Astyanax mexicanus: one gene and its partners. The main gene of each other region encodes a partner of the protein of the gene in region 4 in a complex. Links are inferred from orthologs where the notes say so. Each region holds a gene or a part of one and is shown on either strand. Other genes may lie near its edges.

What was found.
Region 1: cmc1 (region 4) and timm21 share a complex: the UniProt entries of both Homo sapiens proteins name them as parts of the MITRAC (mitochondrial translation regulation assembly intermediate of cytochrome c oxidase complex) complex. The link is inferred for Astyanax mexicanus from reciprocal best matches to the Homo sapiens genes CMC1 and TIMM21.
Region 2: cmc1 (region 4) and cytochrome c oxidase assembly factor 1 homolog share a complex: the UniProt entries of both Homo sapiens proteins name them as parts of the MITRAC (mitochondrial translation regulation assembly intermediate of cytochrome c oxidase complex) complex. The link is inferred for Astyanax mexicanus from reciprocal best matches to the Homo sapiens genes CMC1 and COA1.
Region 3: cmc1 (region 4) and smim20 share a complex: the UniProt entries of both Homo sapiens proteins name them as parts of the MITRAC (mitochondrial translation regulation assembly intermediate of cytochrome c oxidase complex) complex. The link is inferred for Astyanax mexicanus from reciprocal best matches to the Homo sapiens genes CMC1 and SMIM20.

Annotation. Positions count from the first base shown.
Region 1 is NC_064408.1:91,587,770-91,595,601, forward strand, and holds timm21 (mitochondrial import inner membrane translocase subunit Tim21-like), read left to right. Parts: upstream 1-4,825; 5' UTR 4,826-5,152; coding exon 5,153-5,471; intron 5,472-5,573; coding exon 5,574-5,636; intron 5,637-6,379; coding exon 6,380-6,477; intron 6,478-6,575; coding exon 6,576-6,649; intron 6,650-6,768; coding exon 6,769-6,874; intron 6,875-6,993; coding exon 6,994-7,086; 3' UTR 7,087-7,681; downstream 7,682-7,832. UniProt on the Homo sapiens protein: Participates in the translocation of transit peptide-containing proteins across the mitochondrial inner membrane.
Region 2 is NC_064415.1:54,745,155-54,752,095, forward strand, and holds the start of cytochrome c oxidase assembly factor 1 homolog, read left to right. Parts: upstream 1-3,917; 5' UTR 3,918-4,005; intron 4,006-4,426; exon of another isoform or gene 4,427-4,773; intron 4,774-5,647; 5' UTR 5,648-5,686; coding exon 5,687-5,780; intron 5,781-6,530; coding exon 6,531-6,682; intron 6,683-6,779; coding exon 6,780-6,856; intron 6,857-6,941. Other genes in the region: blvra (biliverdin reductase A), read right to left, coding at 333-430, 605-724, 1,666-1,784. UniProt on the Homo sapiens protein: Component of the MITRAC (mitochondrial translation regulation assembly intermediate of cytochrome c oxidase complex) complex, that regulates cytochrome c oxidase assembly.
Region 3 is NC_064415.1:23,373,220-23,380,012, forward strand, and holds smim20 (small integral membrane protein 20), read right to left. Parts: upstream 2,351-6,793; 5' UTR 2,289-2,350; coding exon 2,180-2,288; intron 1,146-2,179; coding exon 1,089-1,145; intron 950-1,088; coding exon 909-949; 3' UTR 502-908; downstream 1-501. Other genes in the region: plaa (phospholipase A-2-activating protein), read left to right, coding at 2,920-3,068, 4,306-4,499, 4,681-4,781, 4,913-5,033, 5,189-5,356, 6,114-6,249, 6,379-6,548.
Region 4 is NC_064408.1:130,761,511-130,769,263, forward strand, and holds the start of cmc1 (COX assembly mitochondrial protein homolog), read left to right. Parts: upstream 1-4,753; 5' UTR 4,754-4,877; coding exon 4,878-4,896; intron 4,897-6,383; coding exon 6,384-6,476; intron 6,477-7,753. UniProt on the Homo sapiens protein: Component of the MITRAC (mitochondrial translation regulation assembly intermediate of cytochrome c oxidase complex) complex, that regulates cytochrome c oxidase assembly.

The DNA of each region.
Region 1 (7,832 bases), about 39 Mb from region 4:
CTGAAAAAACTTATTTTATGAACTGCATGATATCCAAGTAGGTAATATAAAAACCATTCACTATATACTGTAATATACTGTGTATTAGGCGGTAAGTAGAACAGTAGTAGGTCATTAATGGTATGGCTAATCAGTCTATACAATCAGTATATACATGCAAAAATGTTTAGGTTTATACCAGCCATGTATTAAGAAACCCTGCCTGTTATGCACTACTCGATCACATTGTACACATTTAGAATTCATTGCCAGTCCTGAATGAACAGGAAGAGCATTTTCTCATACTGTCTGTGGTAATGCATCGACTCGGTTACATGAAGTCTATGTTTTCATGTCTGTTGTAGTCACAGTGTAAAATGTGCTCTGTCTGTGTGTCTTTGCTCACACTACATTATGTTGCATTGTCTCCATCATGTAGACTTCTTGAAAATAGTGCAGTCCTGGATCAGTACGAACGAGCTTCAGAGAAATATGAAAACATGGACCGGAGATTTACAGCAGCATGATGGCACGGACACTGTAGTCACAGGCATAGGGCCTACAGAACACACTGCAGATGTAAATGGACACAGTAGCAGAGAAAAAAAAGAGACTTTTAGATTGAAATTGCTTGAAATATCTAAAACTTGAATTTTGGACGAGCATTATTTAATCCATTTGCCCTTTTTTTAATTATTCAGGCCGTTGGTTGACATTGGACAAACACACTGTATTAACTGTTATTTTACTTCCATTATAAGAATAAGTGTAAACAGAACTTTCCTGTTGCATGCATTTGTTATTCTTCCATAAAAATATGTTTTTTTGTTGTTGTTCTTTTTGTTGTTTTTACACCGGATAAACAGTGTTGACACAGATTATTTACAGCCATATCTATAGTCTACATATATTTACCTCAGGCCAAGAGAAACATTTTTGTCTTTTTGCATGTCTTATGTCTATTTGTCATTTCGTTTAACAATTGATCATACTAAGTTAAATCCAAGGCATTGTGAACTAAACTAAACCCCCCTTAGAAGGCAAATTACTGCACTAACATATGCATGCTTAAATATTTAAAAAAGATAAAATATGTGTGGCTAAGTTCATTTTAAAAATGTTTTAATTAAATTAATTAATTTTGCTGTATAATCTATTTAAAGTGCAGGTGCAAAACACACTCATAAACTTTTGCTACATTTTGGTGGCACATAATATTTGTACACAAATTTTTGTAGCTGTTTGAAAGCTGGACCACCTTTAACACAGTTTATGTATGCATTAAGAAAATAATAAACTTTGACAAGAGCCCCTTTCATGTTTTCTTATGCCGGCTGAGCCTAAATCCTAAAGCGTTAGTTGGTGTCCCTGAACTGGGATTAATATGATGTCATTGGCATGTTGTGAAATAAAATAATTAAATAGCAAACAAATTTGTATAAATTGGACTGATGATACTGTGATGATTGTCTTTTCCAATTCCAAGGACAGATCATATGCACACTGCCTCTGCTACTAACAGGTAATGCTAATACCATTCTGTGATTCAGTGATGCATTAGAATTCCTGTACACATATACACACACACACACATATATATTGTTGCTAGTGATGTATGGTACCAGTCAAATGCTTGGACACACCTACTTATAGAACCATTTTTGTTTTCTTATTTTAACTTGTTAGTTCCAGCATTTTATCAAAAACATGAACATGAGTTTTATTTGTGTGTGTTCTGATTTTTCATATTTTACATATAAGCTAAAAATATATAAACACCAAAATTATGTGAATTCCAAATGTCATGGAACAGCAGTACATAATTTGATAAAGTGTTACCTCCGGGAACAGCTTGGGACCACCCACAATTTAGTAATAATATGTGAGGTGTTGTGTTATCAGTGAGGATGAAATTTGGCCAGGGTGCTCATGGCAATGCGGAGTAAATTTTAGAGTCAGAGTGGCATGCCTTAGACTCGATTGGTTTATCAAAGTGAGGGCTCTTGTCCTAAAAACTATATATTTGCAAACTATTATCATTGTTTAAATGTCTGTACTGCTGTATATTCCTAAAACCAGAATTTGTACTATTTATTTGGATCTTAACCTTTAGAGCACTAAATAGCTCAGCTAAATAGGGAATGGAAGCTAATTGTTACCAGTTTGTATGATGTCATTTGCAAATTCTTAATGATGACTTTTCACTTTCATCATTTCATTGTTATCAACAACATTGGCATTAGACCTATCCCTTTAAATATATGTAGCCTATAGCCAGATATCTGGAACCATGTTTTCTATTTTTCTTGTTCAAAAATGTGCACTGCAGAGCGTAAAGAAGGACATGCTTGTCTTCAGGGTTGCCCTAATAGTGTTTTTTTACTTTTTCAACAGGCAGATGCATCACTGCCCTGCGTCTTTCCATGTTTGACAGCTTAAGGGACTAACTCGTAACATCCTCCTACAGACAGGACTGTCAGATTCAGCGAATATTAAGTGGGGCAGCGTCTGCTTCTCATCTGATTGCCTAGGGCCTCTTGGCTTTTGGTGGACGACACTAACTTGTGTTCCTACATTGACTTTAACCTGCTCAGCCACTGAACAGCATTGTGGTGCCTAGAGAGTAGACAGACATAAGTCTACATCTCCTGACTGCAAACTGAAATCCAGGGGCGGATTGGGATGTTTGGGGGTGGGGATACTGTACTGGGAATAGGATGGGGATGTTGGTTTGTTTTTTATTCATTTTCCATTGTTTTAATTTTTATCCATTGTGTGGGATATGAAACAAATGTAATTATTTTTTCTCTTTTGTGACCTTTAAGAAAAGAATCTAAAGCTAAAATGTGAATCTAAACTTTACTGAATGTCAATGCAAATTTGTTCCTTTTCCTAAAGTAGACTTGAGCTGCACAGGCCACTGGAGTCGTGTTGTCATTTTGTAGTCAGTGCCCACATTATAAACTCTATGTAGATTCCTCTCTCACATAATTAATTTCCTAGGTTTTGGAAAATTGTGACTTTTGTGGTAAACACACACATTTTAAACCCTACAGAATTTTTTCTATGTGTATTTTTTATTAAATGCCCCTGTATCCTCTGAATTATACACGTTTTGCTAGTTACAGACTAAGCCTAACACTGCAACACACTGAAAAGACTTGTTTCACCAAAATACTCCAAACAAACCAGCCAGCTTTATCAAATAAAGAGAGTTAAATGTCTCTGGTAGCGATAGAGTTTGAATAAAAATGTATATTTTACTGTAGTAAGCTCAAAAAGTAGTTGTTGACATAAGCACTGTGCCATGTCAGTGTGCAGGAACGTTAGCTTAGCTGTAAGCATAGATGTAGCATTAATCAGTCATTTGTTTTGACCCATTAGATGTAGCAAATGAGGATCCAGAGACATTTAGGGGGGAAACCTTAAAAAACCTTAAACCTCATTCATTTGTGTCCAAAAGAAATTCACCTCAGCCCTGGAGTTTATAATATGGGCTAACTAGCTACAGAATTGACACAAATCATCTGCGGTCTACTGTTATTATTATCACCTGATAAACAGATATCAGTTATTTGACCTGATTTTCTGTGATCTGTTTTTCAATTTCCTAACCTCTGCCCGCTAAGTGCACATTCACTAAAAATTAATTATTAGATTCAGATTTGACCAAAATCTTTAGAAACTGGTCAGCAGGTCTTGTCTATGCATATTTGAATAGAAAGAAATGTTACTACAATCATATATAAGCTGCAAGGTATTGATCAATGGTATGAAAGTAGATCACACATCTTTTTTTTTCCATATAAAACATGAAATGTCTGTATGTTCAAAACCTGCTCATTTGCCAGAAGGTCTACTTGGGTCAGCATTAGGTGAATCATAGACAAAATGTTTTTTAATAAAAGACATGAATAATTCTGTCAAAATTCTTGTTTCAACACTGATTATTAGTATTTTTGAATGTTTTCTTTTTTTTTAATACAGCAAAAGTGAAAACAGAATTATATTTGTTTTTATTTTACGTAAATTGCTTATTTGAGACCAAGAACCAAGAATGTTATGGTTAGTTATTTGTTAGTCATTTTCTCTTATGCATTTGTTTGGATTTAGCATTTTTCTGTTTTTGGTTTTTATTATTAAATACGTTGAAAGACAATACACTCAGCACACATGACTGCACCATGTGAAATATGAGGAGATTCAGGAGAATACAAATAAAACTCATAAACTCCAAAAACATAGAATGGATAGGGAAAACAAAAATTTTATTAAATAACACATATATTCCATAGGATTTCAGAAACCCTGTGTTTTTAATCTTAAAACCTAATCTCAGCCATAAGCAAAGAGTACATTTATTTCGTTTAACTTGCATTTATGCATTAAAAAATTAACTAAAATTAATTAAATATTTAATACAACATAACTACATTTTCCATATATTTGTCTATTTTGGAGAGATAGCAAATAACATTCTTAAGAAAGATTGTTAATATTTAGTTCACAGAAAGAACAAATATTTCCAGACAATGATGTTTAGTTTCTTTTGTAGTTTTAGCGACGTTTGAACAGAGTTTATTATGGAAGTCAAAACACTACAACTCCCATGATCCTCAGCTACAAGAAATGCTGTGAACTCGCCAGACGTCAAGACAAAGTTCATTATAAAAAAAATAAAAGTACCCCAACATTTAAAGATAAAGTGTTTTAATAAGGAGAAATATGGCCTGTATTTATAAAAGTGACGATGTTTGTAATAAAGTCCACATTTACTCATAAGTGTAGATTTATAAACAGGTTTATTTTGCTAATCACGCTGTTATTATCGGAGAGGACTTTTATTTTGAAGGGGGGATTAGCTAGCTGGCGCCAGTGAGGCTATGGCAGGCTGTTCCAGTCATGAGTGAGGAGTGAGATTGTTGTGTTGTTGAGTTTTCTGGGGTCACGGTCAGTTTGACCATTTTCAGTCTTTGAAAGAGAAGCTGCTTATTTCACTGCAGCTTAAAGTGTAGCCTTACCGATTAAATAACAAGCTGGCTAGTGCTATGTATCTCCCAGACCTGTGCAGTGTTTAGCCAGGCTATCTTTTCTAGCTAGCTATCAGTTAAATACAGTGAACCACAGCAGCAGGTTAACTCAGTTACCTTACTGGTTCTTAACCTCGGTTATAATGGTTTATTCACTCCTGTTGAGAAGTGGCAGGACTTCACACTGTGTACAGCACTTACTGAAGCGTGTAAACATCCCCCCATCTCTACAGGTGTCACCTCTGCAGGTGAATAACCCTGTTTTAATCCAGGTAAAGTTCAATAACTTGCCCTTAACTCGGTGGACATGCCTGCCTCGCTGTGTTGGTGTTCAGACTCGAGGTTTCCACGCTGGAGGTCAGTGCAGAAATGCGAGTGACCCTGAGGGACAGGGCAGGGGTCGAGATCAGGTATCAGTCCACAAGAGCCAGGCCTCCTCTGGAGTCTCAGCTGCACAGAAAGGTGGGTTCAGGGGGTGTGTTACAGCTCATTACAGCGATTTTATGCAGAAACTTTAGTGTGACTTTAAATGTGCTGTGCTCTGGGGTTGTCTCCCTCCTACAGTCAAACAAGCTGGCAAAGATTTTACCTATCTGATAGTGGTGCTCATTGGTCTTGGAGTTACAGGTAAGATAAAGCTCTAAATTATTCTTTATTTTATGGATGCTTATTTCCAGTAGACAGGCTTTCTCTTATTTATTTATTTGCATATATATATATATATATATATATATATATATATATATATATATATATACACACACGCAGTGGAATATAAAGTATTTGCCCCTCTGATACCTTTCTGATATTTTTTTATAATTATCAAACCGATCTTAATATTAAAAGCACTTTTTAAATTATTTTTTTTCTTTTAATAAATAAAACAATCTTGCCCTGTGTGAAAAAATATTTGCAGTGCTTCCCTTGGTGGCAACAACTGCAATTAAACTTTACTGATAACTGGCAATAAGTCTTTTTCATCTCTGTGGAGAAATTTTCGTCCACTTTTCTTTGCGGAATTGTTTTAATTCAGCCCCATCTGAGCTTTTTTTTAGCATGAACGGCCTGTTTAAGATCACGTTGCAGCATCTCAGTCAGACTTTGACTAGGCCACTCCAAAACCTTCTTTTTTTAAGCCATTCAGAGCCTTTCAGCCTTAACCAATGCCTATTAAATGTTAAATAAAGGTTGTTTTAAGGTTGGTTTTCCATCATCAACCTACTAGGTCACAGTCAAAAGAATACGTAAATAAATAAATAAAAAAAAACCTGGCAACGATAGAAAGGGGCACAAAAGATTGTAATACATAGGTTTTATCGCTGGTTATTTCAGGATTTATGATTCTAAAATTATTCACCTGTTTTTTGCAGGTGGACTTCTTTATGTCATCTTTCAAGAACTGTTTTCATCATCCAGTCCAAGCAAACTCTATGGGAAAGCTTTTGAAAAATGCAGATCACACCCAGAGGTCTAATTTGCTAATTTGGAGAATGTCATTATAAAACTACACTATTTTTTATTAACTTATTTATTTCATGAATACATAAAATTTTCTTCTTACTTTAGGTAATTGGAGCTTTTGGTGAGCCCATCAAAGGCTATGGTGAGACCACTCGCCGGGGTAGGAGACAACAAGTTAGGTATGATGCAATAGCAAAATAATAGTAGACAAAATAATTAATATTTAAGAGAGTTGAGTTATAAACCATACAGTTTAATTTTTTATATATTTGACTTAACTCCCTTAATGTTCTCATAGCCATATTGAATACGTGAAGGATGGCCAGCAGCACATGAGGCTGAAATTTTACATTGAGGGTTCAGAGCCAGGACTGCACGGAACTGTACATTCAGAGGCAAAGCAGGTGAAATTCAAAATTCTTGTTTACAGTGTACACTAATGTGTTTCATTGCTGGAATTTATCAGTTTAATCAGATGAGATTTCTAATATAAAGATGTTTCTGGATGTTTGTCATTCCACAGAATCCTGAGACGGGGAGATATGAATTCCGCTACATATTTGTGGATATAGACGCCTATCCCAGGAGGACAATCGTGATTGAAGATAACAGATGAGATGGTTTTTCAGTGAATCCTGAACAGATAGAAACCTCTTCAAGCTCCCAGTGGAACTCTTACGGTGAACTTGTTTGTATAAAGCTAGGTTTATGTGTAGGGTAATGATTTCAAAATGGCAGTATTTCAAATAAGCATTAGGGGGAGTTCAGGTTTTCTTGCCTTCAGATGTCATATCCTGGTCATTTTTGTGAATACAATTATATCTATGTACACTGTAGGACCTGAATCATTTTTAAAGATTTTTAATTAACTCAAATTCTATGCATTTACACCGGGCATCCACATTGCTTACTCTCAGGTCAGTGGTCAGTTTGACTGCCATTAAATGGGCCCATTTACTACTGCCACATTTCATTCATATGTCATTCTGGGTAATTTCATTCACTATATTAAAGTAACTGCTTCCAGATAAGCAAAGAAAATGAACTCACTCACATGCTTGCAAACTGCCTTATTTGCACTGGTCCTTGGCCAGCTTCAAATAATACATATTAAGATCTGTTTTACTTCATGGATGTGAGCATTGATTTGCCATTCAGTAATATTGTTTTATTACAATAATAAGAAATAATGGCCATATTTGAATTTTGATTGCCAAGAAATAAAGCTTTTGTGAAGCAGGGTGCTTTAAAAATGCCAAGAAACAATTATTTTCTAACTTTTTGTAAACAAAAAAATAAATAATAATTATACATTAAAGATCAGATGATATGTTGGGGATGATCTTATTTGAATTGGCCTGG
Region 2 (6,941 bases), on a different chromosome or scaffold from region 4:
ATTTATTTATATATTTATTTTTACCTTTCGGTACTCAATAGTACTGAGACATTGCGGTTGGTGTTTTTTTGGTATCTAGTTTTAATACCAAGCTCTAATTAGTATAACACTGTACTACGACCTCAAGTAAATAAGTCATTGGTCATTTAGCTAATTAAAAAATACCATGTTTTTTGTACAGTTTTCTGAAAATATGTGGTGTATCCCTTTTTTAGAAGGCACAGCTGGACACTGTTGCCCAAGAGAAACGAGAAGCAAGAAAGACCATGATGTTTCCTGTGGAACAAGCTGACTTCAGCACAAACACAGTGCAGATATTATCTTTAGCTTACCCTTCTGCTGGGCGAGCTCCCACAGAGCAGCTGCAGAGCTGTAGTTGGTGGTCATTGGGTACTCCACGCATACGTGCTTCCCTGCCTCCAGAAACTGCCTGAGAGGAAATGAAACCGTGTGAGAAACATCACAGCTAATGTACCTCATAATATCACAATATTTCATTTCTGTTTGAGTCCATCACTCAGCCCAGTATAATGAGTATCAGAAGACTCTCAGAGGACTAACAGGAAACCCCTCTTGAGAGTTCAGCAGTCAATAGTTGTCTTACCTGATATGCTCTTCATGGCTGGTGTTTTCAGTGCAAACAAAGGCCACATTAATGTCATCCCTGCTTAGAGCCTCTTCTAGAGGGATCTGCTGGACTCCCTGCTGGTCCTCCATTGTCCTCCTAAACAAAACATTTACAGTCAGTCCCCCATACTGGAACTTTTCACCCAAAAACAATTAGTAGATAAACACTCCTTTCTCTGATGCAATGGAGTGAGATAATTGACATCATGATCAATGATCAGTCAGCACTGATCAATAAACACTTCTGATTTAATACAGCTTAACATATAGTTTAGAACAGACAGAGTTAAGAGTTAAGTGAAGGCTAGATGATATGCTAATATTTGTAGAGTTTTAATATTATATATATTTTTATTGTTTTTAGGGGTAGGAAATACAGCTCTGGAAAAAAATAAGACACCACTTAAAAATTATGAGTTTTTTATTTTTATTTTACCAATTTAAAACCTCTAGAATAAAATCAAAAGGAAGATTTTAAAATGTAATTTAACTTCGAGCATGGCATGCTCTAACCCAACGTACATATCCTTCTGAACTGGGCGACTGGTGTAACAAGGGCTGGGGTGCTGCTTATCTCTCGGCTCAGTGGTTTTCTTATCTCACAGTTTAGGAGGAGTTACCACTATTACCACTATTAACTTACTTTCAAAAGTGTAATATGATCAATTATGATTATTTAATGAGTTCCTTAAATATTACGCCTTTTTTAACTCTGCTATCATTAACATCCATATTTTTTAAAACAAGTACTGTAGTATTTAGTTCTGGTGATGGCATTTTGTTATGTATTTTTTTATATATGTTTTAGGACATCTTCTCACGTCTATTAGAATTAAATTAAAAAAATTCTGAATCACAAAACATATTAATAACATTTATAAAACAACTTGCTATGACAACTGATTAATTAAAATGTTTTAAAAAAATGACTGTTCCACACTCCACCAAACATCCTGATTGACTGCATTTACATCTTTATTGTTTAATTATGCACACATTTAAAAAAACCTTTCTCCATTCTAGGGGAATGCAACTGACCTGGACACAAATCCCTTAACTGTAAACTTCTCCGCGGCGCTGGAAGGCAGAGGAGCCAGCAGGTCTCGAATCCGCACCCCCCCGGCAATGCCCAGGCCCACCACCACAGACCCCAACATGTTACCTGTGGACAAGAGCACACAGTCAGTGGGCAGCATAGCAAAAGTTCGAAGACACATGGGACTATTAAACTATTAGATCAGTCAAACAGCATTATATTACTATAATAATATTTGTTATTATATGATATTGGGGTGAATTAATAGTGACTGACCAAACAAATGATCAATTTCTGCAAAAATGATGCTAAATTTAATTTTGTGTTTTTAATTTTGGCTGCAACAATTAGTTGATATAATCAAATCAACAGTGTTTATTAAATAAATTTGTCCACTACAAATTTTATTGTTGACTAATCGTTAATTTATAACAGTGCTGGGGACACAAACTGATTACATATTTACTTACTAAATATCAATACTTTTTAAGTTTAAACAACATCTAGACATTTAAATGCATTTTAAGTCTCATATTCAGCTGTTCCTATTGTTTTTTGAGATGGAGGACGTTGCAGGAATAATCGTGGGATATATTATAACTGTTTAATTATAATTTTTATATTTATTATAATAATGTACAAACTAATGTAGAATTGCTGTTATCAATTACATTATGGGGTATATTATGACTGTTTCCATTTTTTATTTTATCCACATTTCAAAAGAAGAAAAATAATTGTATAATTTGCCATTTAATACTGTCAAACATACTTTTACATTTATTATTTTTTATTTCTCCGTTCCACCTTAAATGCTGCATTGTTTGCGCTCTGGCGCTTGTTCAGGCTCTCTATTGTAACTAGCTGAATTTAAGGTGGAACCGGAAATTGCAATTAGACCCAATTCGTTTTTGTTTTAAAATGTAGCTGAAAGGATCCTGTGTTTATGAATGTAACACAGCATGGGTTATACTGTAACAGATATGTGTTTATCTCTATAATCCGGCCTTTCTGCGCGCTAATATCGCTTCGGCTACCTAATATGGTTTAAATACAAGGAGGCTGGGGATGCCAGTGTGGTGTATAAAGCGCGTGCATGACAGAAAGACACGAGGCGAGTCTCTGAAGGACATTTACACAACGACATGCTAAAACCGCTTAGTTAGAACTGTTCTAAAGCCCGGAGCGCTGTCTCTTACCTCTGAAAGTCTGCGCGCTGTGCTGTCCGGCTGCGCTGCTGCTGCTGCGGCTGCAGTGATATAACTCTCAACTCACAACTTTCATAACTCGCTCTACACAGGGGAGGGCTGCCTGCACGGGTTGCCAGATTGCGCATTCTGACTCCCTCCAGTGAATGCTGCAGAAAGAGTGCTTCTGGAGTTTTCCCCATTATCTTCACATTTGTTTATTTCTTATTTCCCAGACTTTATGCTTAAATTAAATTCAGTATTTCTGTAAAATTGTTATTATGTCTGCACTACGTTATGGGGTCTAATGATGAGATGAGTGGTGTGTATGATTTCAACCAAAATGTAAAAATATAAAAAATAAAAGTAAAAAGGGAGATTAATATTAAAGACATGAAAACAATTAAGAGACACATATGGAATTACGTAGTAAACAGTGCACAAAATGTTAGTCCTAAGAAAATACCAAGAGTGTGCAGATCTGTCCCAAAAAAGATAAATGTTGTTCTTAAAGTATCTAAATCTAAATCTATGTAACAATCTATATAAGAATCTAAAGTATATTTTGGTTGGTTACATTTTTTTTTTTGTATACATAACAGTTTAGCATGTGTTCCTGCGTAGCTTTAATATATTCTTCAATATTAAATTTACAATGTAGAAAAATTCTCACTAGTTTATTAGTCTGTAGGATCATTTTTCTATTCTGTAGTATTTGCCACAAAAACAAAAAGTGACAGTAGTAATAAGACATTTGGGTATTAAAGCTTTGTCTTATTATTTTAGCTTTAGCATTAAACATTTATGCTCTTGAAAACATGTTTGGGAAAACAATTACTATTACTATCACTATTACTATGATTACAACTATGCATTTTATTTTCTATGCTCTTTTTATTATGTTTTTTGTTGCTCATATTTATAGTAAGAAAAGTAGTGACCTGATAAACTTCTGATAGACTGATAGACTATTTTATTTTCAGCTGTATTATTATTATTATTATTTTTATTTTATTTTATTATTATTATTATTTTTTTTTTTTGTGATTTTGCTGTGAATCCGGGGATTTAAGGGTTAAAGAGGGTCATTCGGTTCAAAACAAACATGGCCGCTCCCATGCGGCGGTGAGGGAAAGCCTGCAGTTTAGAGGGACGGTCAGTTAAACTGGTTTATTATCACGAGTTAAAGCTTAGCTTCAGCTCCAGATTTACATTCATATACAGATTAATGATAGAAAAAGGCTGGAACACTGGATATTGTCTAACGGGGATTTTGCGTGCTTGTGCTGAACGTTACGCAGATAACGCAGAGGGAGATTTTATCAATGCTGGGTTTTAAGGGTTTTAAGGGTTTTGGTTGATGACCATAAGTCAGCTATATGTTTAATACTTTGTTAGCTTATTAACTAGTTAACTATGGGGTTAAAGTCCTAACCATTGTTTAATGTTGACAAGAAGACATAGAAACAACGTTCTGATGATCTGATTTATGATCTAAAACGCGACCTATAAAGAGCAGCAGAGTAAATACATATTATTTATCAAAAACAAATGTTTTTTTCTATTTTTATTTAACCTATATTTTATTTTTTCTGATTTCATTTACATAGAACTGCCTCCTTTTCCGCATGTTCTAGCTACCGTACATCATTTTCGTTTTTGGGAGGGAGCTGTTGGTGCTAGTGAATAAATTAGTGAAAAAAAGTGTGATTTCTGCACTATTAAAATAAAATAATTGTTCACAAGTTACAAAGAATTAAAGGGCACGTAAACCCATTGATTTTTACTGACTCCACCCTCAGTGCAAATAAAACAAAAATACAAAAAATGAGAGGGTAGTTTGGAAGCTGCACTGTGATGGTGCTGGTGATGTATGGGTTTAGGGGCGGGGCAGAAGGAAGAGCTGATTAGGATAAGCAGGAGGTTGGTATTATTGATTGATTGATTGATTGATTTGCATATTGTGAATATCCTTCTACCAAAGTACATGGAAACATCCTCGCCTATAGCGCAGTTAAAACTGAGAATTATGTTGCAGAGGTGGAAATTACTACAATAAACGTGTTTTTTTTTTTAATTAGGAAATGTTTATCAGATTTTATTCTGGATCGACATGTTTCATTACTTCAAAGGAACACATTTCAGATATTAATAAAAATATATAAATGGTTATAAATATAAAAGGATTTGGTGCACCCTTAAACCATAATAAGAGCCCAGACCCAATTCTGAATGCTGGTGCCAAATTCAAAGTTGAATCAGATAAATTCAGTTTCTTACTGCGGGCAAAATACATATTATTTTAAGATTAAAATTATGATGTAACAACAACCATTTCATAACATTTTATTTCAGAAATCAGATCAGACCTAGTTCTGTGGAACATAAAACATTTCATTAAAAGATTTTAATTGTTAAAATGGTTGGAATAGATCAGTAAAAGCAAAAATACACTTTTTAAAGGATCTAGTTTTGCTTTAACTCCAGCACTAACTCTAAAGCACTTTAGCATTCTGTAAATAAGGTGAGATGAACAAACACAGATTAACCCTCTGTCTGGTAGTGATGCTCTCAGGATGTTCATTATGTGTCACTTAGTGGCACTAAACTCTAAACCACAATTTTTTATTTTATTTAATTTTATTCATATTTTGTTCATTTGACGTAATAAAACGTAATCCATAGTTGAGTGGATTATTTTAAATTAAGTGCAGTAGTTACTAAAAAAAAGAGGACTGGGTTAATAGATCAAGGCATTTTGTGTTTTTGGCATTTTTACTTTTTTTTTTTTTTTCAGGTTTGCTAAGATCGTGTGAGATCCAGAGGGTATGAGAAGATGAGCCGCTCCACCAGCCTGCTGCAGCAGATGACAATATTTGTCACTGTGATGACTGGGGGAGGATGTGGCATGATGTACTACCTCATGCAGAGTGAGCAGATAAACACAGATTCTATTAGAATTTGAAAGAGAATAATTTGATTGTGGGCAGGCATTAGATGTCAAGTGCCATGTTTAATATTATTATACTTCTGTGAGTTCCGACCCTGCAATGCGATTGGCTGAGAGGCGTTCTATGAGTGCTGTTATCAGCCGGTAATGCACTCTAACCGAAGCTCTGTGTATTACTCCACCACAAATAAACAGTTTTTAGTAGAGAAATCTGTGTAGACTAACATCCAGCACTTGTTTGGCTTTGAAAAAAAAATGTGTTTTTTTTATTACAGTTTTTTTTATTTAGGCACTTCCCCCAGCTTCCCTATTAGAAGGGAAACATGGCGACAGCCTTGCTCACTTCAATGTAGGCATCCTAACTAGTGTTGTTTAATTTGCCTTATAATCCGAAGCTCCTAATGTTTGAAAATAGACCAGAAAAAAGATGTTCATTGATAGTGCAGTTTATAATCCGGTGCGCCTTATAGTCTGAAGGAGTATTAGGAGTATTTTATCCTCTTCAGTAACACAGATGCTGTGAAATATTGTAGAGAACTGTCTAAAACATATGAAGTTTAACAGAATCACAGTATTGTGGTGTGATTGTGATTGTGGGCAACATGATCATATTGTACTGTGAGATGCCCTTTTGATTGTATACATTGTATTTTCCCCAATTCTTTTATTTCATAACTTTTTTTTAAATGATTTTTCCTGTTTTTTTTTTCTCATCTTTTTTTCTTCCCAGAAAACTTCGCTAAATCAGAGTATTATAGGCTGGCTATTGAGCAGCTGAATGAGAACTCCACAGCCATGGCCAGCCTCGGGGCTCCACCCCTGAAGATCCATAATATCCACCTGACCGATCGGCACAACCGCGTGGACCACACCCAGGCTCAGGTCAGACTTATTCACTGATAGTGTTGATTATTGAGCGTATTCACGTTTATTAATCTGAAAAACTCACAGATTTGGATCTACTGTTCTCAACTTCCAGCTGAAAATTCCAGTGACTGGACAGAAGACTGGGGGCTATCTGTACACAACATCCACCAGAGACTCGGTGATGAACAGGTACAGTGCTTCTTCACCTGCCATCACAAACAACCTTTTAAAAATACAAAATGATGATTTAAAAAAAAGAATAAAGATAATTATT
Region 3 (6,793 bases), on a different chromosome or scaffold from region 4:
AAGAAGCCAACACCATAACATCGTAACCCAGAGAAATCGTTTAATTATTAAGCTTCAGTTGGTAAGGTTAATCCTCTAAACACATCTGTGCTTCTGTGCTTGTAGATTAGCTCTTGATTAGTGTCTCTTCTGACATCCTCACAGCACCCATCACATCTGTTTCCCTGGAGCTTAGTCACCACACCTATCCCATCTTTCAGTGTTGTGTTTGAAAGCTACTTAGCTATGCTCTAAATAATAAATAAATATGCTGCAAATAATGTTAAATGGCCTGTTGGAATGTTGGGTTATTAATATTATTAATAAACAAAATATTAAATAGAAAAACATTTTAAATTTCCCATATCTTCATATCATTTGCAATGGAAACCATTCATATAATGCTACACTGTATCTCATGAATAAGTCACTCTGACTGAACGTGACCTATTGGATCTACAAGGCTTTGTGCTCCCCCTAGAGCTCAGCATGCTTCATTACAAACACAAACATACTAGATAGTTCCAAAAATCACATTTTATTTCATTCAGGAATAAATCATTCTATACATTACAACATATGACAATGAATGACACAATATTGTGGCAGGTATTACATATTACTGATTTTTTCCCCCAATGTAACTTTTTCCAGATGATGGCCTTACTCCAGAATTGTACCATTTTTCCTGTAATACACAGGCCAGCTATCAAAGACTGAATGAGTGTTAACGTGTTACAGCCAAGAAAACTAAACAGGGAAAATTAGGAGTCTTCCAGGGAATAAGCTTCTTTCACTCGCTTGCATGTTAAATGGTTCATTCAGTCACACTGAAGTGAGAAGTGCATAATGTCCCAGACATTTGCAATGATGTCTTTATGTTCATGAATCTCTTTTCCCATCTGTTTCTGCTACTGCCTTGCATCACATCATGACTTCGGTTTGAATGGATCTGACCAGACCTTCACTCCTTAAAATAGAGAAATCGCAAAGCATGAAAAGACACATGCCATACATACTGTTTCTCCATCTGTATGTTTCCTAAGCTTTTAGCTTTAGCTACACATAATACAGTACTTGAATGTTTACTGCAGAAGAACCAGACATACCAGCAGGCTGAATATCTGCTTGATTGATTCCAGCTCGGTTGATTTTCTGGATCTCCCCTGTAGAAGTTTAGGATTTAACATTAGACAGAGTGGTTGAGGTCGACCTCACAAAGGTTTGCAAAGGTTCATATCACTGCAATGCTGGGTTAGGATTAATAAACAAGCCTGACATACAGTACCACTCAAACGTTTTGACACACCCCCTTCTCATTTAATGTTTTTTTTTATTATTATTTTTTATTATTATCTAAATTGTAGATTACTAATAAAGAAATCAATACTATAAAGGAACGCATAGGAAAGTAAACAAAAAAGTGTTAAACAACCCAAAATATCATATATGTTTTATACTTTAGATTCTTAAAAGTAGAATGTCTTCACATTATTCTTTCAGGCGTTTTATGAGGTAGAACCTGGAATAAATAAGTTCCTAGAGGTACTAAGCTCTTATTAACTGCTTTTCCGTTACTATTAGCTCCATCTCTTCCCAAACCACCTGGGATGGATTTTTTATGTCAGGTGTTTGTGAAGGCAGAACCCCTTTTTTATCTTCTACCTAACTGCATATAGAGTTCCACATTGTTTTTGAGTCTTTAATACTAATCTACAATGTAGTAAATAATACAAGTAATAAACAAATTGGGGGCTGGGGAAATTTTCAATTCTTAAATGCATCTCGATTCGGACATGGACGATTCTGTATCGATTCACTGAAAACAAAAATCGATTTTCTGTGTCCAAACTTTTGAATTGTACTGTGGATTGATAGATATTGTTTAAATAAAGTTCCCAACAAAAATACATTTATATGTACATATTTACTTAGCTTACATTGTTACTGGCCACGCCATAAAATAAAATACAATAAAATGTAGCTAACTAGATAAAATAAGAGTTCTTAGTTATAGTCATACATGTTTCTATATAATTAGCGGTAGGGAATCTATCTTTCTAATTAAGAACCTTTTAATATATTGACATACGGTTATATGACAGTTGGTTATTAAAGGGTGAGAGCAGTTAGCTAACGTTATTTAACATCACTGGCAAACTAGTTATTCACAGCAAACTAGAAACGCTGATTAACTCACTGTACTCCTCTTTGTGAGAAAGAGGGTGGAAGAATATCGGGTAAAAAGCTGCAGTCACTGCGGTTACGAAGCCCCCGAATATGAGTGTTATTCTCAGGTTTCTCGACATGTCTGGACCTTGAGAAAGACAGAACAGACAGGTAGCTAGCTTAGCTAACCTAACTCTATCCGGGTCAAGTTCAGCACTCGGAAATTAACCCATTCATTGCCAGTAACTGCATTAGCAGCTATTTATTTTAGTATGCGTTCTGATTGGACTTAAACCTAAAAAAAAAATAAATAAATAAAAAAACAAAAACATAATTATTTAAAAATATCTTGTAAAAACAATGGTATTGTTAAATTAACATGTTATTTCTAAAAAGAAGAATAGGTTGTAATACACCATCGGAGGGCGCTCCCAGAGTCAACAATGAAATTGGTTCATATAGAGCTACTGAGCAAATTGATAGTTTATAAACGTTGAATCTTTTTTATACTAAAAATTGTACTTATTTCCTCATCACAGAACAATATCAAATATTTTAGTACAGGGGACTTTTATGTTGTAGTGTCTCTACATCTCTGCTGCGGAGGTCTTTTCTTTTGTAGAGTGTCTCTCGGTCTCTGCTGCCGGGGTCTTTTATTTTGTAGTGTCTCTCCCTCTCTGCTGGACGGGGCCGCTCGTGCTCTCTCAGTTCCGGGGCTGAATGAGTTTTGTTTTTTATCGTGCTGATTTAGCGGAGCTCTGAATTTACACCATGGCCTCTCCCAGCACCTACCGGCTCAGCTGCTCCATCCCGGGCCATGAGATGGATGTTAGGGGCCTTGCCGCCGCGGTTTTCCCTGAGGGAGGTTTCGTCTCCGTGTCGCGGGACCGAAGCGCCAGAGTCTGGGCTCCAAATTTAAGGTAGCCGGTTTAGCCGGCAGGCTACAGCTAACAACAGAGCCCAGCTAGCCTCGCTAACAGTGTTTATAGCAACCAGAGCGGCCGGCCGGGCAGCTCTCAACACTGTAACCATGGTTTAACTAGCTTACGTTACTCCTTCCACTATGATACTATTTTGTGAACGATATATCGTTCCTGAAATTGTTGCGATAAACGGTATTATTCTCAATTTTAGAACATTTAAATGCCACTGACATAATGATAACAGAATAGCTTAACTAATAAATTATAATGTTACAATTTTAAAGACAACCAATTTCTAATTAATCATTGATTGATAACTATATACTTTACCTACTGTAGTCCACACTAAGTGTAGGGAGTCACAGTTATTAAAACATTGCTCATTGCATGACTGGCTAAAACACTGTTCACTGTTATGACCTATATGTGAACAAACATACAAGCCACACAATAGACAATATCACAGTAATCAAATATTGTTCAGGTATTTACTATACAATAAATCGATTATATAATTATCGTGACAGGCCTAGCTTAGATTAATTGATTAAATAATATTGTTAATAAAGAGGCTGGGCTCTGATATAAAAGTTCTTATATTTTGGTAAATGATCATGCACTGATAGAGCTGGGTGATATGGTAATAATATTATATTTTTATATATGATGTACAGTATTAATATTTTGAAACACAGAGTATAGTGATTCTTATTTTATTTTGCTGCACATCATCCAATTAAACAGGATTTTTTATACTCTCTGTAATAAAATGTTGTACTGATGATATCCTCAATATGGTTTAAAAAACTGATCATAATATAAAAAAATATCAGTATATTGTCCAGCTATATTTGTCACAGTACTTTTTGGGACTATATACCATCCAATCAAAAGTAGTTAATTGTGACAGACCTACCCTAAAACGTCTGTAGAAGCCTTGAGCAATTTATTTTATTAAAAAAAAAAACTACAATGACACTTAAAACAGAAGGGATGTCTGAGGTTTCAGTTTTAGATTTTGCTGTTAGTTATGTACGTGGCATATTTGTGAAATGTCACAGTAGATTTGGAATGTGCATGTGCATGCTCATCGGCTTACTGACTCTATATCTATTAATACTGTCTCTCGCTGTTGTTAGTGGAGTGTTTACTTTGAGCAGCGAGCATGTTGCAGGTGTTCACAAGCTATAATTGAAAACGTGTCTTGGTTGCTTTGTATTTTCTTATTCTGTAGTGAAACTAGAGGTTACACGGAGATGCACTGTATGAACGGCCACACGAACTTCGTTTCCTGTGTCTGCATCATCGCCCCCAATGAAACCTACCCCAGGGGCCTTATTGCAACAGGAGGCAATGACAACATTATCTGCGTCTTCTCCTTAGACAGACCGGACCCTATGTTTACTCTGACAGGACACAAAAACACAGGTGTAGTGCTTTATAATACACATAAGTACAGTCCTTCTCATCTTATCATCAAGAAGAGTCAAGGCTGTGATTATTTGATTTTTCTTTTTTAAATAATGGATTAAAAATAATATATTTATAGAGTGACCAAAACCTTTATGGCCACTTATTCATTCCAAGTTTCTAATCCTGCTGTCCACAGTGTGCACACTCTCAGCTGGGAAGTTTGGGACGTTATTGAGTGGATCATGGGACACCACAGCTAAAGTCTGGCTCAGTGACAAGTGTATGATGACTTTACAGGTAATTCTGCCTTAAGAACTGAAGAATTATTTGTTTTTGAATTCTGTTTGCTTGGGAATTCTTTGTCCTGAGCTATTTTAATATGCGTGTGTGTAATGTATGGGTGTGTCTGCTTTTGTTTCTGTATGTAGGGGCATACAGCAGCAGTATGGGCTGTGGTGATTCTGCCAGAGCAGGGACTTATGCTCACAGGATCGGCTGACAAGACTGTTAAACTCTGGAAAGCTGGACGCTGTGAGAGAACATATTCAGGTGAGCCTCATAGACATTTACATTTTCATTTCTTCTGAGCTAGACTGTGTGCTTTTCTTTTTAAATGATCAGATTCAGTTTCGTTTTTTACACGAACCACAAGAGGTCAGTGTTGAGTTGATTGTGTGTGTTTTATTTATTTTTTATTGTTGCAGGTCATGAGGACTGTGTTCGAGGACTAGCTGTAGTGAGCGATGTTGAATTCCTGTCCTGTAGTAATGACGCCAGCATCAGGCGATGGATGGTGACAGGAGAATGTGTTCAAGTATACTACAGTCACACTAACTATATCTACAGTCTGTCTGTCTTTCCAAATGGACAAGGTGAGGATTTTAGTACTTATAGTAGTTTTTTGTTTAATAGAGTTTTTTTCTAAAGAGAGTAATGTGAACAATGGCGAAAATAATATAGTTTTATAGTCTTATATTTACATTTACAAATGGACAGTGGCACTTGTTATTAGAAAAATAATAAAAAGTCAAATGACTTTCCTAATCCCTAATAACATTTAGAGTATCTGCCGAGTCACGATCCAATACTTTAGAAATGCAGTAAAAAAACAAAACAAAACAAAAAAACACATCCAAGTGGTCCGTTAAGGTCTATTTAATAAATTGTATTTGCAATTGTTATTGAAACTGTATCCAAAAATACCATTTTATTACAAAAATGTGTTTGTGAAAGTCTTATATTGTACTAGGAAAAATAAGAGGAGAATGAAACGTGGATAAAAAATAGTTGATGGATCGATAAGTTTGCTGGCTTAGTGTTCATGCTAGCATACTCGAAAACAGGTGATACACATCACATACCCGCTTTCCTAGCCTACCAGCGTCCTAATCACTCCGCCTGAAGGGTACACCCACTCAGAAATCTGATACATCAGTCATCCGGAACTTTTTCACTCAATTCCGACCCTTTGAAATTATGTTATCGATCCTGATTTCCGATCACATGATTGGATCAGGGACATCTCTAACTGTCAGTTAATTTGAATGATTAGTAAATAATTGTATTAAAATATGAATTCATGACAAAGCTTCTTCTCTCTCTCTCTCTCTCTCTCTCTCTCTCTCTCAGACTTCGTAAGCACAGGAGAGGACCGCACAGTAAGGATCTGGAAAAATGGTGAATGTGCTCAGACAATCCGTCTACCTACCCAGTCAGTCTGGTGTTGCTGTGTTTTACCTAATGGAGACATCGCTGTAGGAGCCAGGTACACAAATGATCTACATTGTGTTTTCACTTACAAAATCAGCTGTACTCAAACATTTCAGACAGTTGATTATTATTGAAAACTAGTGTAGACACTTATTAATTACATTGATTTGCGAACTGTTCACAGTGATGGCATCATCCGTGTGTTCACTGAGAAAGATGAGCGTGTAGCGAGTGCTCAAGACCTGCAGGCTTTCGAAGATGAACTTTCTAAAGCTACTATTGATCCCAAGACTGGAGATTTGGGAGATATCAAGCCTGAGGAACTACCTGGAAGAGAACACTTAGATGAACCAGGTAAAAAAAGACTGGAATCTTTTAAACCCTGTCCTGGTGTTTAAGAAAAACATTTAAACATTTGAAAGCTTCCCACATGTTGTGTTAGACTTGCAATCAGCAGATTTTGTGCCTTCTGCAAATACCATGCATAAATGAAAAAATTCTATGGACTTTAGAACTCAACCTATGAACATGCCTTTACCCGGGCTACAGGTGTAGGTGATACAAAACTCTGCAGTAAAAAAAAAAAAAAAAAAAAAAAA
Region 4 (7,753 bases):
CGTGAGCGGCCGATCAAACGCTTCAGCAGAATCCTTATAGGGTTTAATGGAAGATGGGAGTGCCATCTGTGTGCCGCCCGGGCCGGAGCCAGGGCACCGTCTTTAGCATGTGGCGTGAGGGGGACGAGGGGCGGGGTCTGCCGGACAGTTGGGCGGTCGGCGGTTGGCCGGGGCGCTGAGCCGTGCTGTAAAAGGGTTTAACTTTGCTAACCTTCACCGTGCCAGCCTGCCGGCACCTGCTGGCACCTGCCGGACCCTGCTGGCACCTGCCGGACCCCGCCGGAGCGGGATATTGCGCCGGGGAGATGTTGGCAGGCTTTGACGAGTCGCCGATGTGATGTTATTAGATTCTCCGGTGCACTCTGACCCCCCCTGCTGGCAGGGAGGATCAGGCGGTAAATGAAGGTGAAGGTGAGTGTGTGTGGGCAGGTGTGGCAGACCCTCACCTGCCGGGAGGGACTTGACTTTTGTCGGAACCCTCCGGATGGTCAGAGGCTCCAGCTGAGACCTAATTAACCTCAAGAGGACGGGCAAAACCGAAGCGTCCCCGATTTTCCATCATCATGTTCCTGAAGCAGTGCGCATTAGTACAAGTTTACAATTTAATATACAATTAAATACAGTATAATTGTTATTACAATATATTGTACTCAATTATATAAATAAAGACTTCTTAAAGATTTCTTGTGCAGTTAACTCATAATCTGTTTTCAATATCTGTTGACGGTAGGACTGCAACTAATGATTATTATTAGTAGTCGACTAATCTGACGATTCTTTTTTTGTTTCGATTAGTAGATTAGTCAACAATTATTTCTATAGAAAAAGCAGAACATGAGATTTAAATAGCATTAAATACCTGAATGTTGTTTAAATGTGGAAAGTACTGATATTTAGTGATTAAATATGTAATCTCCCATTTATCTCCCATTGCGCTTCTGTCCCCAGCACTTTGTGTAATGCAGTATTTTTGCAAATTAACGATTAGTCGACAATTAAATTTATACCTAAATAAAATACCTTTATATGGGTCAATGTAATGTAATGTAATTCTTCAAGTAGTTGACACTCAGAACTCAGAAAGTTTATCACAAACCGTTGCATGGATTTGTTCTTTTTTTGCTGGCCCTTTTGTATTTCAGTGTTTAATGGAATATATTTAGTCAGCTTAGGGTTAGTCAGGAAAGTGAGTTGAAACAACCTTTCCACTTCCATGTTTTATATGTCACTACAACTCAGTAAAACAATAAATGACTATAAAAATCCTACCAAATTCAAATAACTTATTTATTTAAGTATTGGCCAAAGGCCCTCACAATTACTTTTTAGAGACATGTAAAAGAAATAATAATTTAATATACCACTTCGTTGGTATTGAATGTTGAATGTAGCTTTGACTCCTAAAAGAAAAACTCCTCAAATCATTTTATGTCCCTATATTGTATTGGATGGACACATGTGGGCACATTCTATTTAAAAAAGAACATTATAAAAATGAAAGGGAAGTAAGGTGTAATAACCATGCCATAGAAGGTTAAGATGCATCTGCAGGAAGAATGGAACAAAATGACACCTGGACCTCGTCATCACGTTGTATTTTAACTCTGTGGAACTTTTATTTGATTGTGTATTTTATTGAAGGTGATGCGGTGTAGAGATTGGCGTGAGAGGACAGGGCTTCAGGCTGGTGAAGATGGTGAAGATAGTGAAGATGACACTTCAAAGGGTTTATTTAACAAACAGGAGGAGGAGTAACCGCAGGCCGGCCGCAGCTCCTCGGGGTGGAACGTTCCGGCGCTCTTTCCACTGCGGTGGTGAGCTCTCGCACGGCTCTCGCGCAGACTCGTGGTCGGGTTTGAAGTGAAGCTGTGGTCGGGACTGTCTTGAGTTGGGTAGACTGAGTGTAGCAGGTGCAGAGAGCAGCTGCCTGAACCGTTTCCAACACCAGAACATGCTCAGCGGTACCCCCCAAAAACACCAGGTATACCGGTAAAACTCTACTGAGTACTGAGTACTGAGTACTGAAACCGAGGTTTAATCCCAATTTTATAACTGATTTTAACCCAATTTCCAGTCAGTCTGCTTCCAGATATCAAAAACCACTCTTAATCGTTCCCATGTTCATCCTAAGACGTTTGAGCCAGCACCCCGGTTGCTGAGTGTAATAAGGCAATAGACCCGAGATGCACATGCCAACACCCCGGTTGCAGAGTATACTGTAGTATAGTAAACTCCAGCATGCTAAGTATAATACAAAAAACATCCCAAGATATTTGAGCCAACACCCCGGTTACCGTGCGTAATAAGACAATTGGACCCCGGTTGTTGAGTGTAAAATAGGAATCTGTCCGAGTCGTTTGAGCCAACACCTCGATTGCCAAGTGTAAAAAGAGAATTGGCTCGAGTCGCATGTGTCAACACCCCGGTTGCTGAGTATAATGTGGCAATCAGCACATCTGTTAGTCCCAACAACCTGATTGATGAGTATAATATAGGAATCTGCCCAAGATGTTTGAGCCAACACTCAAGTGTAAAAAGATAATTGGCCCGATCACATGTTTCACCACCCTGCTTGATGGGTAAAATATGGCAATTGTCCCAATCCACCGCCCCGGGTGCTGAGTATAATATAGAAATCTGCCCAAGACGTTTATTCAAACACTCTAGTTGCTGAGTATAATATTACAATTGTCCCAAGTCGTCTGTGCCAACACCCAGATTGCCGAGTATAATATAATAATCTGCCCAAGCCATTTGTACTAACATCCTGGTTGCTGAGTATAACATGAATCGACCTGAGTTGCATGTGCGAACACCCTGAATGCTGACTATAATATAGCACTCATCCCAAGTCGCATGTGTCAACACCCCAGTTGCTGAGTATAATATGGCAATTGTCCCTTGATGTTTGTGACAACACTCCAGCTTGCTGAGTGTAATATAGAAATCTGCCCAAGCCTTTTGTACCATAGACTGTGTATAGCTGAACAGAGCATTGTCTCTCAAAAGTGAAGCCACCACAGGTCGGGCGCCCCCTGCTGTTCGGTTGCAGAAAGCTTTTTAACCCCTTTTTTTCAAATATACTGTAATTCTACCTCCATTATTTAAATCTAACAGCTAGTGTAAGCTCTGCTTATATCGCCAAATGTATATATCCCCACAGAATTCGTTTTTTAAATGTTATTCAGCTCAATTCAAAAAGGTGTGGTTATTGTAAAAGGGCTGGTTATGGGCGGGACCAATAACAGATCGTCAGCTCCGCTCCGCTCTGCAGCCTGTGACCTCGAGGCAGCCCTCAGGGGCGGAGTTATTCAAATGAGTAGGCTGTCTCTACACAGTCTTTCTCCCTCCTCTGGACTCTACTGTGCAGTCTCGGGTATGGCAACATGGCGGAAGATTTTGGCTTCGTTTTCATTGAATGAACGGGAACGGCGACACAGCGTCCATCTTTTTTTACAGTCTCTGGTTTGTACAAACACCCTGGTTGCTGAATATAATATGGCAATCAGCCCAATATGTTTTTGCCAACACTCCAGTTGTGGAGTATAATATATGAATCGACCTGAGCAGTATGTGCCAACACCCTGGCTATTGGATAAAATATGGAAATCGGCCCAAACTGCTTGCATCAAAACACCAGTTGGCAAGTAAAATTTGGCCCAATTCTTCATGGCTAATACCAAGTCTCATCTGATGCTGCTTTACATCAGATAAGGCAGATCCTTTATGCTATCTGAACAGATTTCAGGACAGTTGGAGTTACTGTCTACCTTATTCAATATCTTATTATTTTTTATTAAATTATTTAAACAACCAGAACTGTAATTTAACTGTCTTCATGAATGTGCCTTAAGACATCCCAAGACTTGGTGATGGCTGAACAGGTTGTAAATAATTTATTATTTATTATTTTGTGCGGCAAACTGTGATTTTTAAAAAATATTTATTATGGTTGCGCTTTGCAAAGCAATGTTAATATCATAGCAACCCCTAGCAACCAACACAGATACCATAGCAACACCTCAGCAACCCCCTACCAACCACATAGCAAGGTCACAGCGACCGCCATAGATTTCATAGCAACAGCTTAGCAACCACCTGGCAACATAATTGCAACCCAAAAGAAACCACTTAGCAATGCTATAGCAACCACCACAGAAACCATGGCAACAGCTTAGTAACCACCTGGCAACACCTTAGCAAACACCTGGCAAACACTTAGCAATGCCAAAGCAACAACCACAGATACCATAGCAACTATTTAGCAACGCCATAGCAACCATCACAGATAGCATAGCAACCACATGGCAACACCTTAGCAACCACTCAGAAACGTCATACCATGACCTGGGATACCATAGCGACCAACTGTAGTCGTTTTAACTGGGCATCAATCCTGCATTTCAGTTCAGTCATTCTATTACTAATTCTCTTTAAGTAAATCAACATTTTCCCAGCTCTAAAAACATTTGTGCTGTAATTTAATATTTTTCAAAACATGAAAAATATATAATTTTCTAGTCACGAATTTTAGGGGTGACTTTTATTTTGAAAAAAAAAAACGCATTGCAAACGGTTATTCAATTCTATATTAATATGTGTATTTGATATACATGTACTATTTATTTCTCTAATAAATGATTATTTTTATGTAAACAAATATAATAATAATAATAATAATAATAATAATAATAATAATAATAATAATAATAATAATAAAGGACTTTTATGAAGGACTTTTATTGGTGGCACTGTGGGGGCGCGGCTTCGCTGGAGCAGCAGCAGCGGGGTCACATTAGCTCGCGGCTAAAGCTAAAGTCTGGTGTTTGTTGGTGTTTTTCTGATTTATTATCAGTTTTTAGTTTATTAACAGGCTCATGGACTCTTCTAAATCAGGTAAAAATCACCCGAGCTGCTTTTCTTCACAGCGCTGCTGAGAAAACAGGATATTTAGCGGGAAAATGAGCTGAAGTTAGTTAGCATTTCTGTACTTTAAGGGCAAAGTTGGGCTAAAAGAGCGAAAATCGCCTGAATTCGAGCTTAAAACACACAGTTTAAACATGAAACTGATATTAATAATCAGTTATTTCTGTCATAAAGACGAGTTTAACCTGTGTGTGCTGTTATAAAGCTAAATATCTCCTTATAAATCTTGTTGAGCTGTTATAACTCTCCGTTCCACCTTAAATAGTGCAGCAGTTACATACAGCGTGGCTGCAGCATTTAAGGTGGAACGGAGAGTTCAGCAGTGTTTAGACAACTTAGCTTTTATTATTATTATTAAAATAAATTAAAAATCATATTCTCCGTTTAAATGACAGTTTGGGGTCATTTTCAACCTAGAAAAGGGATTGTCAAAATATTGGAAACACCCCCACGTTCACTTGGTGTTTCTGTTATTTTGTCCACCCAAGTATTAAACGTACTGGTAATGTAGCCAATTACAATTACATTTCTTGAGTTAATTTTACTCATTTATTTTTTAAAGTAAAATTACAATATGGAAATATTGTTACGTTAAAGTTTTGGAGTTCATTTTAATAGAATTTCAAAAAATGGCTATTGTTTGAGTGTCTCGCATGGTGTTTCTGTTATATTGGCCGCACACCTCTAAAACATTTTTGTAAAAATGAAAAAAAGTCATATTAAAATGTCATTGGTTAATATAATTTTATTTGATTTTTAGTGTCAGATTTAAATTACATTCTCTTGCCAGTGTTTGAATTTCATTCTCATATTAATGAATGATAGATTTTTTAAAATAAGTCTCTGAGAACTTTATTATCAAATGTTAATCATATTATAATTCTATTTAGGTTAGTTTTATCAGAACTTAATTTGCAAAGTTGAATTTAATCTGCATTTTATTTGCAAAGTTTAATCAGATCCCTAGCAATATTACATCTATTGTTGAATTAAAGTTTCAGTTCTGAAGTTAATTTAATTTCAATTTCAGTTTCATTCTTAAAGTATTTTTTGTTAGAAATTCACTCTCACTCTTAAAATTACACCCACACAATCTGCCAAAGTGTTTGAGTTTCGTTCTTATGGTAATGTAGGATAAACTTTTATTTTTTAAGTAATTGTTTTTAGGTTTTATAATTAAAGGTAGGTCATATTAAAATTTCATTCAAAGTAAATGTTATCAGAATTTTATATTCAATGGATAATTTTAATAGAATTTCATTTTTAATTGTTAATTTCAGTAGAATTTTATATGCAATGGTTAATTTATTGCAAATTGGATTTGCAAAGGTAATTCTAGCAGAATTTCATGTGCAATGGTTTAATTTTACCAGAATTTTAGTTGCAGTGTTAATTTTTGAGCACTGCCATGTATGTTAATCAGTGCAGTTATTTAGTGGGCGGTTCTGTTTTCTCAGGTGAGCCTCACCTGAGGCACGTGGAGCTGGACGTGCTGATCCCGAAGATGATGAGGGAGAAGGCGAAGGTGCGATGTTCTGAAGTGGTGGAAGGTATGGAACCAAAACCTCACAGGATTAGAACCCAGAGATTCTAGAACATAGCGGACCCACCGGTGCTTACTACTGGAGTTTATAAATCCATCAGCAGCCGGAGTCTGAGAGAGAGAGAGAGAGCAGTAGATCATGGTGTTAATGTTAGTAGGTTTTATTGCTGAAATGAAACCTGATAACCAAAATTTTATAGCTTTTTAATTTTTTTTATTTGTGTATACTGTGTGTAGTGTGTGTGTCTATACTGTGTGTAGTGTGTGTGTGTGTTTATTCTGTGTGTAGTGTGTGTGTATACTATGTGTGTTGTGTGTGTGTAATAAACACACAGTGACATTTAGATCGGGATGTTCCAGAGTTCAGCGTTTCCTATAAACAGCTCAGTTTCAGCTCTGTGCTCCTCAGGATTCCGCCAGTCATCTCTGAACCCGTCACCCTGCCGCAGATACCATCGCTGACGTTCCCCGGCGCCGTGGCAACGCCGACCTTTAGCACCCCGACCCCGTGGAACACCCAGAAACCACGGCGCTGTGTCTGGAACTGTGTTACGCGACCTCTCGTGGAGAACTAGAGTAACTGTGCCGCAAAGTCTTCTTCTACAGCTCTGCTGTATTGTAGTCCGAACTTGTGTTCGTCCCGTTAGTTTTGGTTTCACACTGCAGTTTAGTGGTTGACACGCTGAAAAACTTTACTACCTCCTGTCAACATCACCTACGAATGTGGGCGGAGTCTCACTATACTCAGCACTGATTGGTTTGTAGAACGATCCAAGTGAATTCTGTCCCTCTACCAGAATGCGTCTCTCTTCGAGCACGGGTCACTGTCTTGTCGGAAGACCCATTACCTAGAATGCAAACCCATCTTTCTGACACTGTTATATACAGCTCTAAAAAACATTAAGAAACCACTTCAGTTTCTGAATCAGTTTCTCTGATTTTGCTATTTATAGGTTTATGTTTGAGTAAAATGAACATTGTTGTTTTATTCTATAAACTACAGACAACATTTCTCCCAAATTACAAATAAAAATATTCTCATTTAGAGCATTTATTTACAGAAAATGAGAAATGACTGAAATAACAAAAAAGATGCAGAACTTTCAGACCTCAAATAATGCAAAGAAAACAAGTTCATATTCATAAAGTTTTAAGAGTTCAGAAATAATCAATATTTGGTGGAATAACCCTGGTTGGTTTTTAATCACAGTTTTTTCATGCATCTTGGCATCATGTTCTCCTCCACCAGTCTTACACACTGCTTTTGGATAACTTTATGCTGCT